Linked DNA regions of Astyanax mexicanus. The protein of the gene in region 2 interacts with the protein of the main gene of each other region in a biochemical or structural test. Links are inferred from orthologs where the notes say so. Each region holds a gene or a part of one and is shown on either strand. Other genes may lie near its edges.

What was found.
Region 1: the proteins of grip1 (region 2) and carm1 form a complex in vitro, tested with the Homo sapiens proteins (2 studies listed by BioGRID). The link is inferred for Astyanax mexicanus from reciprocal best matches to the Homo sapiens genes GRIP1 and CARM1.

The regions. Positions count from the first base shown.
Region 1 is NC_064426.1:9,725,314-9,733,338, reverse strand, and holds the start of carm1 (histone-arginine methyltransferase CARM1), read right to left. Parts: upstream 3,030-8,025; 5' UTR 2,948-3,029; coding exon 2,806-2,947; intron 1-2,805. UniProt on the Homo sapiens protein: Methylates (mono- and asymmetric dimethylation) the guanidino nitrogens of arginyl residues in several proteins involved in DNA packaging, transcription regulation, pre-mRNA splicing, and mRNA stability.
Region 2 is NC_064409.1:11,298,471-11,306,624, forward strand, and holds the start of grip1 (glutamate receptor-interacting protein 1), read right to left. Parts: upstream 3,046-8,154; 5' UTR 2,575-3,045; coding exon 2,442-2,574; intron 1-2,441. UniProt on the Homo sapiens protein: May play a role as a localized scaffold for the assembly of a multiprotein signaling complex and as mediator of the trafficking of its binding partners at specific subcellular location in neurons.

The DNA.
Region 1 (8,025 bases), on a different chromosome or scaffold from region 2:
ACAAAAGCAGAGACCACTGAATGAACAGGCGGGCAAGAGGCGAGAGGGGAGGCAGGGGGACTGGCTATTGTCTTCCAGTGAACAAAGATGAGCGTCTTAAAGCACAGGCTCAGCGCCCTGCATGTTATAAAGCTTAACAGACCTACTGAAGAACATTTATATCCATCAGTATTTCTCTTAAGAAGCAGAGCAATGATGTGCGCCATCTGAGCTTCAACACCACAACACACTCAGTCCCACTGCCAGCTGGCAGGCGTTAAGCATTAGGCTTTAGGGTTACCTGGAGTGCTTTAACTTCAAACGAAACAGAGGGAACTCTGGGGAAATCATAATCTCTGGTTTAGATTTGAGGGGTGAGCTTTGTTTCTCTGTGTACAGCACACTCGTAAATCAGCTGAAAAGAAACAGAGTGCTGCTGGCTAACTTTATGACTTAACGCCAAGAAGCATAGGAGGTAAATCCATGTCCAAAGAGTGAAAGTCTGCCTCAGGATTTTGATCCAGCTTACTGGGGAGCTTTATTAGAATTTATCCTTGTGGGAAATGCCATTTCAATATTGACAACTATAATGGACACAAGTCGAGAAACTTTAAGTCCATCACAATTTATGAAAATGGCTTGAACCCTTGAACTTTTCTATCATCAACACTGAACATTCTATGCTGTCCAATGAAACTTCAATTGCTGGGATGTGTATTGCCAACAAAGCTCAGGGACTTTCTTTTTAAATTAGTGACCATCACAGCTTTCACATTTTAAGGCACCAAGAAATGTATACATTTTTTGCATTTATTTTGTTTCTGCTGCTAATACAGAAATTGTTTCTTTAAAATAACACTTTCCTTTAATTTGTCCAGTATTTTAGAAGTCTACAGTCATTTTAACTATCAATTTTTTTTCAGTGACCTCTGTAGCAGACAAATACTGCCTCCAATTTTATCCAGCTTCAAAAGATGCTGAATGAATTTTACTCAGAATTGTATAGGAAATGTCAGACTAATGCTGTGTTCTTGTGCTAGCTAGTCAGAGAAAAAGTCATACTTTGCACTTGTGAAATAAAAACCTACGAGCATGTCACATGCAAGGGTGTTTTTTTTTTTTGAGCAACATGAAGAAAGGAAGACAAGGTTTGTTTTTGCTGGTTTCTTGAAGAAAAAGGTTTTAGTAGAGTAGTCAACTTTGCAATGAACAGATTCATAAGCCCTATCTGGACAGGATTGGTTTTCTTCAGGGGTATGTCTGTGAAAAATATTTCACACTTTTACTTAGTGATAAAACTCTTGCGTCCGGACTGCAATTGAAAAAACTAAGACCATTGAGTTTTTTGGCTTTCTAGGTCACGTGAAATTGCGTTCAGTAGCTCCTCCATGTCCACTCAATGTTGTATTTATGTGGATCTCTGTGAGCCCAATGTGTAATTACAGTGGAGTGGCAGTGGAAAAATAGTTATTTTATTAAAAGCAATGTGACTAAACTCAGATGTGCGGCCGGACTGGAGTAAAATTACCGGAGGACCACGGAGTTCAGCGGAAAACAGTGGGAAATTCTGCGTGTAGTTTTCTCAGAGGACATCTGAGAAAAACACATACATGGTCGTTCCAGACGGAAATAAAATTACAGAGGACACCACATAAAAGAAAAAATTACCCCAGGACCTCCTGAGAAACGAATCCCATTCGGACAGGGCTATAGTCTAGAAAATGTGCAGACAACTGTTAACAGCAGCTGCACTTTTAAAATCCGCTACAGATTCTCTTTTTCTCAGAATTTCTCTGGAATTAAGTGTTCAGGAGGCTGTTTGTATGCAACTTCCAAATCAGTCAGTCATATTTCACATAATTCCAACAGCACATAAATGCAGCATTAGAGCTGCCAGGAGAGGAACAGGAGGATGGCTGAAGGCAGGACAGTAAGGCAGTGAGAGTAAAGGTGAGAGGTGGACCCCTCAGATTTCCAGTCTTCTGGTCACTCTAACCGTACTGGACACATTTTAGAGCACACAAACCAATGGGATGTGTCCATCCCTAGATGGAGGGAAAACTATTTTCACATTTCAATACCATTAGCTTTTTGTCCCCTACATTCTTAGACTAATCAAGACCCAGTGACCACTACAAGGAAAATAATATAAAAAATAAACAAAGATTTTTTTATTTTAACCATACCAGTTGTTGAACCATAATACTTAGTGAAATAAAAAAAATATATAAATGTTAAAAGCTGTTTTTCTGGCTCTTAGAAGGGCACAGCAAAGCTGCTCAAGCAGTTTGATCTAAATCCTGGGCTGGATTAATAGCTACTTTTTGGACCTGGGTTCAATCCGCACCAGCGCCAACCAGCATCAATAATAAGCTAGCTATGAGTTAGCATTGAGTGCTAATAGTCTACCAACGTGGTTTCAGTCGTGTGTAATAAACAGACAGTTTCCAGATACACAAAGTAAAAATCCACCGCGGTTTTTGTTCAAACCGCTATGACGGCTGTACTGCAACCAATCCGCCCATACAGTTGGAACAAAACCTGGGCTTGGATTTTTACTTTCTGGAGTTGGACTACCCATTGCTACACTTGCAGCTGCTTTTAGTCACACAAAGCACAGTTTCACACTAATTAAACAGCACAAACTCGAAAACGACACCTAACACACATACGTATCACCTCATAAACCAATATAACTAATATATTATATCTACAGCCTAAATATTAAACCCTGTAGCCCCGTTAGCCTAGCCACCGCTCGCTAACGCTAGTTAGCTAAGCGTGCCGGACACAAAGGCTGGACGTTACGGCGGAGCGTCCACTCACTGTTGGAGAGGTTGATCAGGGCCGCGTCCTGCGTAGTTTTCACCTCCAGGCGCAGAGGCTGCTGCTCCGAGTGCCGCTGGATATCTCCGTTCGCGTCCCCAATGGAGAGGAGCCGCACGCCGGGGAACACCGACACCGCCATCTTCAAGCTTGGGGGGGAAGAGAGCAGCAGCAGCAGCAGCGAACACGCAACCGCTCTGATCCGATCTCCCGCGGACTCGGCGGGGAAGGAAGGCCGGGCTCACTACCGCCCCCGCTCGGCCAAACCCTGCAAGACAACCGCGCTCAGGGCTGGATACTCGATACAATCGATACAAAGTAGAAACTGATGTTTTTTTTTTATTTATAAAACGTTTCCTCGTTTTTATAAATAATTACATAAATGTATCAACATTTCTCTTTGATTTTTTAAATGTATAAATAAAAAAACATACGTTAAATTGTGGGAATTAATCAGCATCAGAAATCAATGCTGTTTTCATGCTTTAGAGATGGAAAAATGAATGATGAGTGAACATACTTTTGCTATCTGGGAATGATGTACTAATTGTGTTAATTATTTATTAAATTGTGGAAGTTTAATTTATTACATTGTTGAAAGAATTTAATAGGCTATGTAGATTAGTAAAACTGAGGGAATAATTACTAAATTTAAGGCTGATTCAGTAAATGGTGGGAATAGTTTATTAACATGTTTATAAATGATCTGTTTCTTTAGAATTCCGGAATAATCTATTAAATTGTGAGATAAAAAAAAATTGAGACTAATTTACTAAATTGTGGGAACAAATTATTAATTTGAGATAATTATTTATTAAATCAGGTCTCTGTCTTTTAATATTATTTTTGGTAATTTGACATATGTTGCTTCTGTGTTTTTTAACCATTATTGCCATAAGTACCATTAAAATGCCATAGAATTGTAATGGTCCAGAAGCAGAATGCAAATGAATGTCAGATTTTTTTTATTATTAGCCCTTACAAAAAATAATAAAAATACTCTAATACTCTAATACTAAATACTCTAAAAGAACTCTAATAAACAAAGAAACAAACAAACTAAAGAAAACAAAGCAGAAACTTAGCAGGCACAAACATCAAAAGCATGACAGAGAACAAAGTAGATATGGGGTATATATACACAGCAGACATCCCAAGTTGCAAAAGTTGATTTCAGGGAGGTTAACCCCCCCACCCCCCACCAAAAAAAAAACAAAACAAAATAAAATTTGCACACCAAATCATATAGGAACTTTACTTTTATATCAATTAATTTTCCTTTTTTTTTTTTATTAAATTTAGAGTATTTAGAGGTGAAATGAGTTTTATCTTTTTTCTTTTTGGAAGGCCCTGCCTCAAGGAACACCTGGGGTAGTAAGGAGGGTTGAAAAAAAAAACAGGAGACAAGACAACAGCAAAACAGGGCAATGTGCTTAAAGAGCACATGGCTAGAAACACAGACAGGATCAGAAAGGACTAAGAAAGAACAAACGTAATTTGTGACCTTTGTTGGTGTTAAAAAATGACCAAGCTTATTTCCAACTCTGTTAGATTTCAGAATGATTTAGAATAAAACTGATTTCCTGAGTATAGTTGGTCCTTTGTCCAGTCATTAGTGTGTGAGATGAGCTAGTTGAGGGGATTGCAGTTGAGTCTGTTGTGGTTGGTCAGCTGTTTGCACCGCATATTGTTGCTGGGTAACCTGCTTAGTCAGGCTGGTGGTCATGCTGGTCATACTTGAGGTCTGGCTTGTTCAGATTGATCATGATTGTAGACCAGCTTAACCATAAAAAACACCCTATGCTGGTTAACCAGCTTAATTACAGTGGTTCATAATATTATCCAATATTACATATTTGTGACTGGCAAAATGATGTGACCTTCTAGGATTAGCAGTTAGTTTGAAGGTGAAATTAGAGTCAGGTGTTTCAATGGATAGTATGACAATCAGGTGTAAGTGAGAACCTTATTTTATTTAACAGTGATTTATTTAAAATGTAAGTCTGTATTATTTTGTTTCTAAACTGAAAGCAGAAGCATTTCTGAGTGGAGAAGGAAGAAAATATTGTGTTTGATGGTACCAGTGTGCTGAAACCACCGTCCCTGCTAAGCCTAATATATTCATTCTAAAAACTGGGGTGTCAGACCACTTTTTGCGGGAATTCACACTACAGACTCTAAAAGAGGATTCGGCGCAGTTTTATTGAATGCGAGTGGCTGGTGGAACAATGGAGACTTCAGAAGAGAAAACTCAGAGCTCAGTATCTCATATAAAAAACAAAGAAATGAAGAACATAACCTGGAATCGAATTCATCCACTCTGAAAGGAGACACCCACCCAGTTTAAAGTGATTCTTCCACATGCTTGGCGGAATTACCTATTCTCACCAGAGAGGGCCCTTAATCCCAAAACCTATGAACATCAGCTTTAAAATCTGCTCTTCACAACACCTTTATAGAAGTCTATTATAACACGAACAAATGTGATTTCTGAGATCCTTAGAAAAAGAGTAGTTGATGCTCATCAAGCTGAAAAAAGTTAAAAGGTTAAAAAACATCTCTAAAGAGTTTTGACTCTAACAATACACAGTCAGACAGATTGTATAAGGAGTGGTCAACCAATGGAAATGTTGTGAAAGGAACTGAAGTGTGCAGTTAATGTGAGGAAACGCACCAACATCCCAGATTTAAAGCTGTTCTGTACAGAGTAAAAAGCTAAAATTCCTCCAAGGCAGTGGAGCAGGACTGATCAAAAGTTACAGAAAATGTTTGATGATGTTTTAGATCATATTTATGCAGAATATTTATATAGATAAAAATTTAAAGGGTTCACAAACCTTTAAGAACCATTTTAGCTAGACTAGCTTTAGATGGGCAGGCTGTTTTTGGGCAGGGAATAGAGACCATGCCAAAACATTGTTTAAATGCCAAAAAAGTAAAAAAACAAACACATGAACATTATTATTTCATTTTATTGGATGTGCATTCACAGTGCATAGCTGTATATCAAGGCATCAAGGGGCTGACAGTTTACAGTGCATTTAAAAAGTAGAAAAACTGTAAAACCTGATCGTTCAGTATATAAATCCTATTATTTTGGCACACACCATGTAGGGCTGAGCAATATGGCCCTGTAAGGGGTAATAGTACCCAGACCTGCCAACCTTGAAGAAATGTGCTGAAAGTTTGGAGGAAAATTAAGTGTGAATAAAAGTAGTGGATGGCTCCATAATTAGTTTGCTGGAATAGTGTTTATGCTTACCGGCCATGTCGATAAACAGCATGACAGCACTATCATCATTATAAGGGCTCTGACTAAAGTTCGAAGCTAGCAGACGTGGGGTGGTTGGATGAACATGAAGTGCTCTGATTGGCTGAAAGCACTTTGCTTGTGTCAGTGACAACCTGACTGAAACTGGCAAACAATATGCATATTTTATAAAACGTATTGTACAAGTGTACTAGGATGTCAAAATGCGTGCACATTACACAAAATGTGAAAATGTTGGCAGGTCTGTAGTACCTCATAAACAGAGACATCAACACACCACAAAGAAGGAAGAAAATAGAATAATCATCCCAACATACCCAATACTCCCTCGGTAGTGTACTCTGCAAGTCATGGAATTGTGGATTGTGTCTAAATCTAAAAAATATATATTTGCAATAGAACAGTATTTACGTTTATTCATATGATAAAATTTAAAATATATGGCTATCTGTGTATACAAGGTGTAATTATTAGCATAGCGTCATAAACTAACAAAGCAAATTTCAGAAATTAAACATATTTTGGTTGATCTATCAGTTATCAGTCATGTCTATTAGTTTTTTTGCTTTAAATCTTCAAAGTACTTAGATTTTCAACCATGTGGTATACACAAAGTGATTGTTTAGGGTTTTAAAAAAGCAATATCATACCAAAACATGATATATGGTTTTGCAATAATATATTATTGCAATAATAGATTTGTTTAATTAGTTTTAATGGTTCATACTGTGTTGTGTTAAAATCCCACCCACTAGATAGCAGTGTTTTACTGTTATAGATGCATAAAGTAGTTTCCTTTAATTCACATTTTATTTATATAATAAGTGTGTGTTTTGATATACTATGATTTTTTGCAATATATTGCCTTACTTGCAGTAATCACAATATAATTTGATATACTGAATTGTATCCCTAGTATACACTACAACAAAGAGGTCATATAGTGTCTCTTAATTTTCCATCATTATTACAATTTAGTGAATTTGATTATAGTTAAAAAAAAACAAGGCAAGAAAATACATAGACAAGAAAAACTAGAGACAGGAAAGTAAGACAATTTTGTGTTTAGAATTAAAAGCCTGAGAACTTCACGTTTCCTTTTCTTCCAACTGTTATCACCACACTTGCGCTTTTAGGACACATCCTGGATTTACAGTAACTGATGCAAAATAACAAAAATAATCACTTTTCTTAAACAGCCCATATCACAGACAACTTTCCCAACTTGATGGTTTTCAAAAAAAAAGGATGTAAACATTGTCATAGCTTCAAAAGATATCATTCACTCCCCAGTTCATATAGTCCACATATGGACAGTGAACTGCACAAAACAAAATCAACAAACTTGGTTTTAACTTGCTTTTGTGATGTTATAAAACCCAGCACACTTACACTGACAAATATGTTTCAGCCCAGACATCTTGAATAAGGCACAATACAGGAGAGCCAATCAGAACAGAGCTTGTTTACAGACTTCTACAGCACTCTTAATGGCACAGTAATAGAAACAGTATTGCAAATATGAATGAATGGAATTATTACTGATGTAAAAACAAAAAGGAATTTTTAAGTTAAAGGGTAGTGTTGATCCAGCGCTGAGCGTCATTAAGAATGAGTGGAGGGGAATGTTTCTGAGGTCTTCTTCATCTTTACTTCTTTAGAAGAGAGTGATTGAGAGAGGGAGAGAGAGAGAGAGAGAGAGAGAGAGAAAGAGAGAAAGAGAGAGAGAGAGAAAGAGAAAAAGAGAGAGAGATAATTATCTGTATGGGTATGCAATAGCTAACACACACATACACATACTGGTGAACACACAAACACACTCTAGGGGGACAGTGAGCACACAGGTCCAGTGTAGAAGACCTTAGAAGTGGTGGGTTTGCAATATGGTTAGGCAATCTGAATTATTATATGCAGTTATCCTTCTGTTCATTATAACAGATTAGAAATGC
Region 2 (8,154 bases):
TCACACTCGTTGCTTGCTTGCTTGCGTGCAGAAGGTGCAGGAAAACAAATGGCAGGAATTGAAAGCCACAAAGCTTCTCTTTATCCTCCTTTTTGGCGCTCCGCTGTTCCTCATTTCCCAGATTTATGAGTGAGCATGCCCTGCCCGAGTCTTCCTTATTGTCGTGGTGAAATGAATCATTTTTCAAAACCCAAAAGTGTACACGTCCCCCAAGCCAGGGGAGGATGGGGACTGCAGACGGATGAATCCCATTAGAAGGCAAATGGCAGGGTCTCACACAAGTAGGAGTTTGATGAATGTACAGGAATGGGCAGACTACAACCTCAGCATGAATTATGCATGAGGTTGATATAAATGATGCAGAGAGGAGGGGCTCTGAAGCACAGATGAGGGTAGGCTCAGTGACCAAGTGTGACATTTACAGTTTTTTTCGGTCACAGAAGTTAATTAGCGTGGGTTGCCACTGTGCGCTCCGGGATGCGTCGAGCCACAGCTGTAAGTCTGGCTTTTTAGCAAGATCTACTGTCATCTCAGGCCTAATTGTGGCCTTCTAGACTCGCATACCAACAAACTTGAGAGACTCAGGTTTAAACATCTCCATGTCGGATAGGTCCCCATATCTAAAAACTCTTCCCAATGCCATTTATTCCCCCACTTCCTGTGTCTGACTCACTTGGACTCCAGCTGGGCCAATTAGGTGTCTAATTTTATGTTGCAGAGCTGAGCTTTTGCGATTGCACATCAAAGCGAATATCTGACTAAACGCATGCATGCAAGAGCGAGACTACCGAGAGAGCCGGTTTCCGCCATCAGGCAAAAAATCACAGTCGTAACCATCCGCTAATGAAAAAAGCTCCTATTTAATTAATGGTTCTGTGCACATTAAACAGCATGCGCTGTAGAATAAAACATGACTCGAGTTGTGCAATCAATTAAGCCAGTCATCATCCATTCAATTCTCAGGCTGGGTGAGTAACAAAGAGTCGCAGGGAACAACAAGAACATGGTGGCTCTACGGGTTTGGGGTCCCGACGTGAGGCCACAAACCACAACATCAAAATTCAAGCAACTGCTTAATCCTAAGGTATGAAAATACAGACATTCCAGACCTTCCTGAATGTCAAAGGCCTTCACTCGCTCTACTCTGTGCTCTGTGGACTGTTAAGGAGAAAACCCTGAAAACAACTCAGTGCTGGTTCTGAATGCTAACCCAGCAAGCCAGGAGGGCTACGGCACCAGAGCAAGGTTCCGTACATCTGTTCTGGGTCTGACTCCAGGTCATTCCATCTCTCTTACTCAGCAAAGTAAGGAGGGAAGGAATGTAGATGACAGGCCTCCCTTTGCTCCCTTGCCTGTCATTCCATTTACAACCTTGAGGTCACTAGTTAGGGGGAACTGCTTGAGGGAAGAAGTACACAGCTTAGTAGTTTAATAGATAAAACCTGCTTCTCAACGCAGAGCTGCGATCAGCTGAGTTCCACAGCTGTACGTAATGGAAGTAATGGAAGCACTAAGCTAAGAACAGCTAATGAACGACTGCAGGAGGCAGGAGACAAACGCTTCTCTTCCGGGGGCACGAAGAGAGTGCTGCTTCATAATAGATGAAAGTAGGTGACGGAAGACGGGCAGACGGCTGCTGTATTTTTAAACAAGCCGCTACACACTCTCACACACACACAGACACACACACCACACACGTCACCTGAGAACAACGTGCCTTTAGGGCGAAGCAGCATGTCAGCAACGGCGGGGGAGGGGTGACAACACAAACACACCTACCTACCTTTCTATCTATCTTCCTACCTCATTTAAGACAAGGGCAGAAAGCAAACAAGCATCCAAACCAACCAACTAACCAACCAACTAACCAACCAAACCTTTAGGTGGTGCAACACTAAGGCATTAAGGTGGCCTGCACATGGCCGGGACTGACCACATGTGCGCACACACACAGTTCGCTCCGAGACCTTCTCTGACAAACCATTCACGCTCAATCAATAGAAATAAGCGTTATCCGATACATGCCATTTATCAAGACTGGCAGGACACGCTCTTTACTGCAGCCACAGGCACACCGACGCAAACGTGTGTATACACACACACACATACACGTGTTTGTGACAACAGGCAACTTGAGACATTGAGACATTATCACATCCATTATCGCCCTGCGACCTGGCCACACTCCACAGGGCTTCACAAGCTGCGCATAAGCCTCTCGATTTGCCCCCCGAAACAAAGTCAGTCCCTCCTTTCCAACCACCCACCCCGACTAACCATCCCACCTGCCCGCCTGCCTGCCTGCCTCTCTCTTATTGCCAGCTCAAGGCTAATGATTCACACTGATGGTAAAACAATAAAACAGATCTGTGGGGGCAGGATCCCTTGCCGGACCCCTGCACAGTCCCCGGGATGGCATTCAGTCAAGCAGGACCACTTACTGTGCAGGTGCTCGGAAGCGTAGTAATACACATCCTCATAGCCCTCGTGGTAATCCTCTTCGGGCCGGTACTTTTTGCCCTTGCGTCTGCGGGACCTGCGAATTTGCTTTACAAAGCCAAGGAAGCGTTCCATTCCAGCGATCTACACGCAAAACTGCCGCACTCCTCCTCCTGCTCCAGTGGCAGCAGCAGTCAGAGGCAGAGGCAGAAGAGGCAGAAGAATCAGCGGCAGCTGGAGCAGCAGTAGCGGTAGTAGTAGCAGCGACAGCAGCAGCGGTAGTCTTGGCAGCGGTGGCGGCAGTAGTAGCGGCAGCAGCGATGTGAGAGTGTATTCCGCTGCACAAAGAGCTGCTGAAAAGAGAAAGCGAGTGATCTCCTAAAGACTGAAGAAAGAAGAAGGCAGGGAGCAGCAGAGGAGGCGAGGAGGGAGGAGGGGGTATAAAACGATAGGGAATGGGTCAAATATCAGCTCCTGCGGACCTGGCCGACTCTTCCGAGAGAATAGACCCCGTCCAGCCCGGCTCCCTCTGCCCAGCCTTCAGCACTCGCCGCCTGCTGAGTAGTCCATTGTGTGTGTGTCAGTGCGTGCGAGAGCCAAAGAGGGTGTGTGCGCATTGTGGAGTGTGGGGAATGAGGAGCGAGAGAGAGAGAGAGAGGGAGGGAGGTGGGGACTCGTACACATACAGAGGAGAGGCCGGCTTGTTCTTCTGCTTATTCCTTCACAGCAAAAGAGAGCGAGAGACACAAAGTTCAAAGGACCCGGCAGCCAGGCGAGGAATCCCTGAGCTGTGGGTTTATGCTGCCACTTCACTGCCCACCCTTCCCCCTGCTTTCCCCCTGATTTGCCAAAAGCTAAAAAGCCTGAGGAAGGTGGAGAAGCTGCACAAGGTGGTATTTTGCGTGCCTCCAAGAATGCGGGCAATAAAGACTGAAGGAATTCCAGATGATGTCCTATAATTTAAAAGAATCCTTTGAAGAAAGAATTTGTGCATTTCTGCATTTTTGCACCCCACCCCCTGCCTGGGTTAATCTGTGGTCAGAGTAGAATTGTGTAAAGTTGATTTTTAACCAGCTGAAGTTGATATTTATTCTTTCAATGCAATGGAGTCTGAGAAATGTCAATCATCGCATTCTGAGATGCATTGTAAATAAACTCACTAGACCTTTTCCAACATTCCCCACTACTTCTATATTTGAGATTTGCACAATTTACGAGAACAAAGGAATCCATCATCGTAAGAGCACAGCTAACTAAGGGTGTTTTCACACCAGCACTATTTGCTCCAGTTAAAACACACTCTGGTGCGGTTCGTTTTTTTTTAGCAGGTGTGAAAACAGTAATAAAACTCTGGTGCAGACCAAAACAACCATACCGAGACCCCCTAGAGGAGATAATTTCAGACCGGTTCCAAACAAGAATGTGATCCGTTCTCTATCTGACTCGACAATCAAAAATACTCCTTTTATTTGAGATAAACTGATAAGCTGTTCAGGTGCAGTTTAACCTGATTTATTATCCAGACAATTAACTACTGTAACTATGAACTAATGCTCTTTCTGCTTCATGCTAAGCTGTTTCAACACTAAACAAACAAGAATGTGTTTTACTAAACGTGCAGATTTTCTAAAAATTAATTTTTAGATTGTCAGATCAGTTTTTTCGGTTTAAAAATGCATGTACGAGAAGGTTTAAAAGTTTACATTTGAAGTTTTGATATCTCTAAAATGTTTGCATTTGCTCTGGTATCAATGCCATTCTCAGTGCCAATATTTGCTCAGGTTACCAGCCAATGTTATTCTTGTCAAAAAAAAACAACTACCAGAAAAGAGAACATAGATTTCCCTCCCCACTCGTGAATAGTACTATAGCTTGTAACTTAAAGCTGCAGTGCTTAAAAAGTAAGTATTCTTTTAAGTCAGCTCTAAACATATGTTTTTTTTCCCTCCAAAAGCCCATTTTTAGAGGTGCTGCAGCACAGGAGATGATGCACTCAGACAAGCTGGAGCGGGTGGGTGTTGGAGTGGTTCGCATTGCCAAACAAACAAAAGCATGAGGGGATTACATTACAGCACCCTCCACCAGCAGGAGTTCCAGCCCTAGCCCCATCTCCAGCCACCCCAAACACGGACTGAGCCGCTAATAGCATTAGCGTTCCAGAGCGGTACGTGTTAATTGGGCTGATTTCCACCAATGACACCTCAGCTTCTGCCAGCAGTCAAGCAGCGCGTGACAGTGACCCACATGGTGAACTGGGAGTGTGCAGCCTGCCAGACTTGCTGCTGCTGGTGGTGGTCTCGCTTCTTTGTTTTACAGTGTTTTAGAAAGGCATTGCTTCTCCTTGATGTGGAACAGAGCTGTACCCGGCTGCCTTCAAAAACAAGAACCAGCTCAAAAACACAGGTTTTCACCTTGTCATTTTCCGACCTGAAGCCTACAATACCCTACAATATTCTCCCAGCAGCTGTGACTAATGCAGGACCCCGGATGTCCGTGTTCAGGGGGGTCGGGGGTGGGCTTTCTAGCCCACATTCCCAGCTCAGACGCAAACAACACAGGAGACAAACAAACCAGCCTCAAAAAAAACATCCGCTCATGCAAGAACATGCCGGCAGCTCGCTCGACAGAACCTGTTCGCATGAGCTCTTGAGGTGTGTGTTTTGAGGTAGACAGAATGTGGAGTGTGTGGGGGTGGTCTCTCTTTGTTCTTTTGTGAAAAAACGAGGAGCCAGTTTAATCTCTCCCCCCATGGGCACGGCATGGATTATCACATTTAATCCAGCAGATCGAGACGCTAATGTAACATCAAGGATACTGTACAGTATATGGCAACACAAATATACAAACAGACAACAATATAATATACAAAAACATGTTTAATAGTTATTTTCTCTTTTTTTTTTTTTTTTTTGAATTTAGAAAAAATGGAACCAAAAAATACAAAAGGAGATAATTACTATCAAAAAACTTTTTTTGGGATCCATTTTTTGGATCTTGTTGGAAAATAACAAACAAAGAGCATTTGCTTACAAAATCATTCATACCCCTGCTATTACAAAAACATTTGGCTACGGGTAATCAACAAAATGGGCAAGGCAAAAGACTATAAACAGTGATTTAAAAAAAAAGGGTCAATATCAAAGTAGGAAAAACAGCAATGTATCCTACATTACTTAGGACTGAACTGTGCAAATTGAGGGGTATATATACTAGGGAGGACAGGTGGAACCAATTAGTAGCTAGGAGAGCAGGAACACCATAGCATCATGTAATCAGTGGAGTCATGGAAGTCCATTGTGGGTGCATGCTGGCAAGTTGAGTCTTTAGAGGACAATCTTGAGCAGGCAGACAGACAGCGTCAGGACTGACACATACATTGTCTTTGTCTAAATTGAGTTTGAATATATTACACAAGAATATGACAACAAGAATAAACACTATGGAATGGTATTAAGGTAATGGTATTGGCATATTTGTCCTTCAATCAATTAAATCAGTTTCCAAGGCAACATTTTGTATTTGACACACTGCAATGCACAAAGCTTTCACTATATAAACTTTACAAGGTAAGAGGAAAAACTTTTGAAAACGCTGCCACTGTGATCAGTAGATTTCCGGTTCGAAACCTGTTCATGTAGCTTGCTATCGGCTACCGGTGAGAGCCTTGAGAGAGCACAACAACAATTGGCCTTGCTCTCTCTCTCTCGGGTGGGTAGATAGCGATCTTTCCCCACATGACTCTAAAGGGTGATGTCGATCAGCATGAGGCATCTGTTAGCTGATGTATTAGAACCGAGTCACTGCTCTTTCCTCCAATTCACATGTATCAGAGGAGGCATGTGCTAGTCTTCTCTCTCCTGGTGTTGGGGCATCGTCTTAGAGTCTTAATGAGTGGGTTAGGTAATTGGCTGTGTACATTGGGGAGAAAACGGAGGGAAAAAAAGTGGAAAATGTCAATTAATGGAGATGAATTTTTACTTCAATTTATTATAAACCTTTAATTAACTAAACTGAGACTTTTACATTGAGATTTGGAACATGTCTAACGATTAAAAACCTCTACATCTCATTGCTCTTCCACGAGGCGAGAATCTGTTCCAGTCTGGAACTGTTGCAGGAGATTATGGCAAACATAAGGGAGCACAAGACAGCTCAGCCTTCAGGGCTGCGGCGGCGAATCCCTTGAAAGTTGGTAGAGAACCACCGGGGGACACGGACGAGTTCGTCCAATCTGTCTGCCACCTGCTGCAATCAAGCCACTCCACAGAGCCGCTATTGATTAGCGCTAGCAGAAAAGCCTAGACTTGCGCATGCACGCATGCTACTGGGAATTGACTGAGCTGCACGGCTGTAGAATTGCGCAGCTCCGTCGTGATTCGTGGAGCACCATGCTCTCTTTTGCGTGTAGTGAAAGGTTACACGGAAGTAGTAGAGTCTACATCTACAGCAACTGTAGGGTCGGACTAAAGCCTGAGGGATGAGGTTTGAGTGTATTTGAAATGAAGAATCTTCTTCTGAGCTCTTAAGCTCACCATCATCTCCGTGTTCAGTCGAGCACAGTAGTGAGCAGTGGTCTTAGGAATGCTTAGGAATCGTGGAAATCATGGCGCCGTTCCAGGTATGCTTCTCTCTGAAGATTGTTTCAGATAAACCACTGCAGTAGGGCACAGCTTAAAAATTTGATCTTCTGCCAACAAGCTCGTCTTGCACTCGTCTCTCTCTCTCTCTTTCTCTCTCTCTCTCTCTCTCTCTCTCTCTCGTTCTCCTGCACACTCTCTCCTCCTCCTTGTCTCTCTCATTTCTCTTCACTTCACTGCTTCCTGTGCCATCTTCACTCTTCCCGCTCTTGCTCGTGCGCCACTTTGAGCACCAACCCCAAAATATCGCCTGCATCTCATCTTTTTCATGCTTTGCCAATAATTACATTTATATTTGTGCAGCAAACGCTGTGGCAGCAGTATATGAGTCACTTAACATGCCAGAACAGATAAAGACAGGCTCTACTCATCTTAAAGAAACAGTTTGAGATGAGCATTTACCCCGAAATTAATTTAAACTGACATTCAGAACCACTAACCGACAATTTTACGTAATCAATATAAACAACGCAATTTCGTAGGTTATTGATAGGATTACACAGAATATATTCGTCTGAAGATAACAAAACTTTGTAAAACTGTGTAAAAAAAAGGCACATACTAGGTTAAACTGAATAAGTAAGAAGACTGAGTACTTTGTATTCAACAATGACTTGTTTATTTCAGTCATATTATTTATATAAATCATAGTTTATTTTAGACCAAAACTGAACTGCTGAGGTAAAAGTAAAACTAAAAGTGCACTGCTAAGGGGAAATGCAGGATTAAAACTGCGCTGCTGAATTAAATGCAGCATTAAAACTGCACTGCTGAGATAAATATAGGACCAAAACCGAACTGCTGAGGTAATTGTATGACTAAAACTGCACTTTTGATGTAAATGTAGGACGAAAACTGCACAGTTGAGCAAAACTTTGATCTAAAACTGAATTGCTGAGGTAAATGAATAACCAAAACTGAACTGCTGAGTTAAATGTAGGACTAAAATTGCACTGCTGAGGTAGATTTAGGACTAAACCTGAATTGCTGAGGTAAATGTAGGAAGAAAAATGCACTGCTGAGGTAAATGTAGGACTAAAACTGCACTTCTGATAAAAATGTAGGACTAAAACTGAAC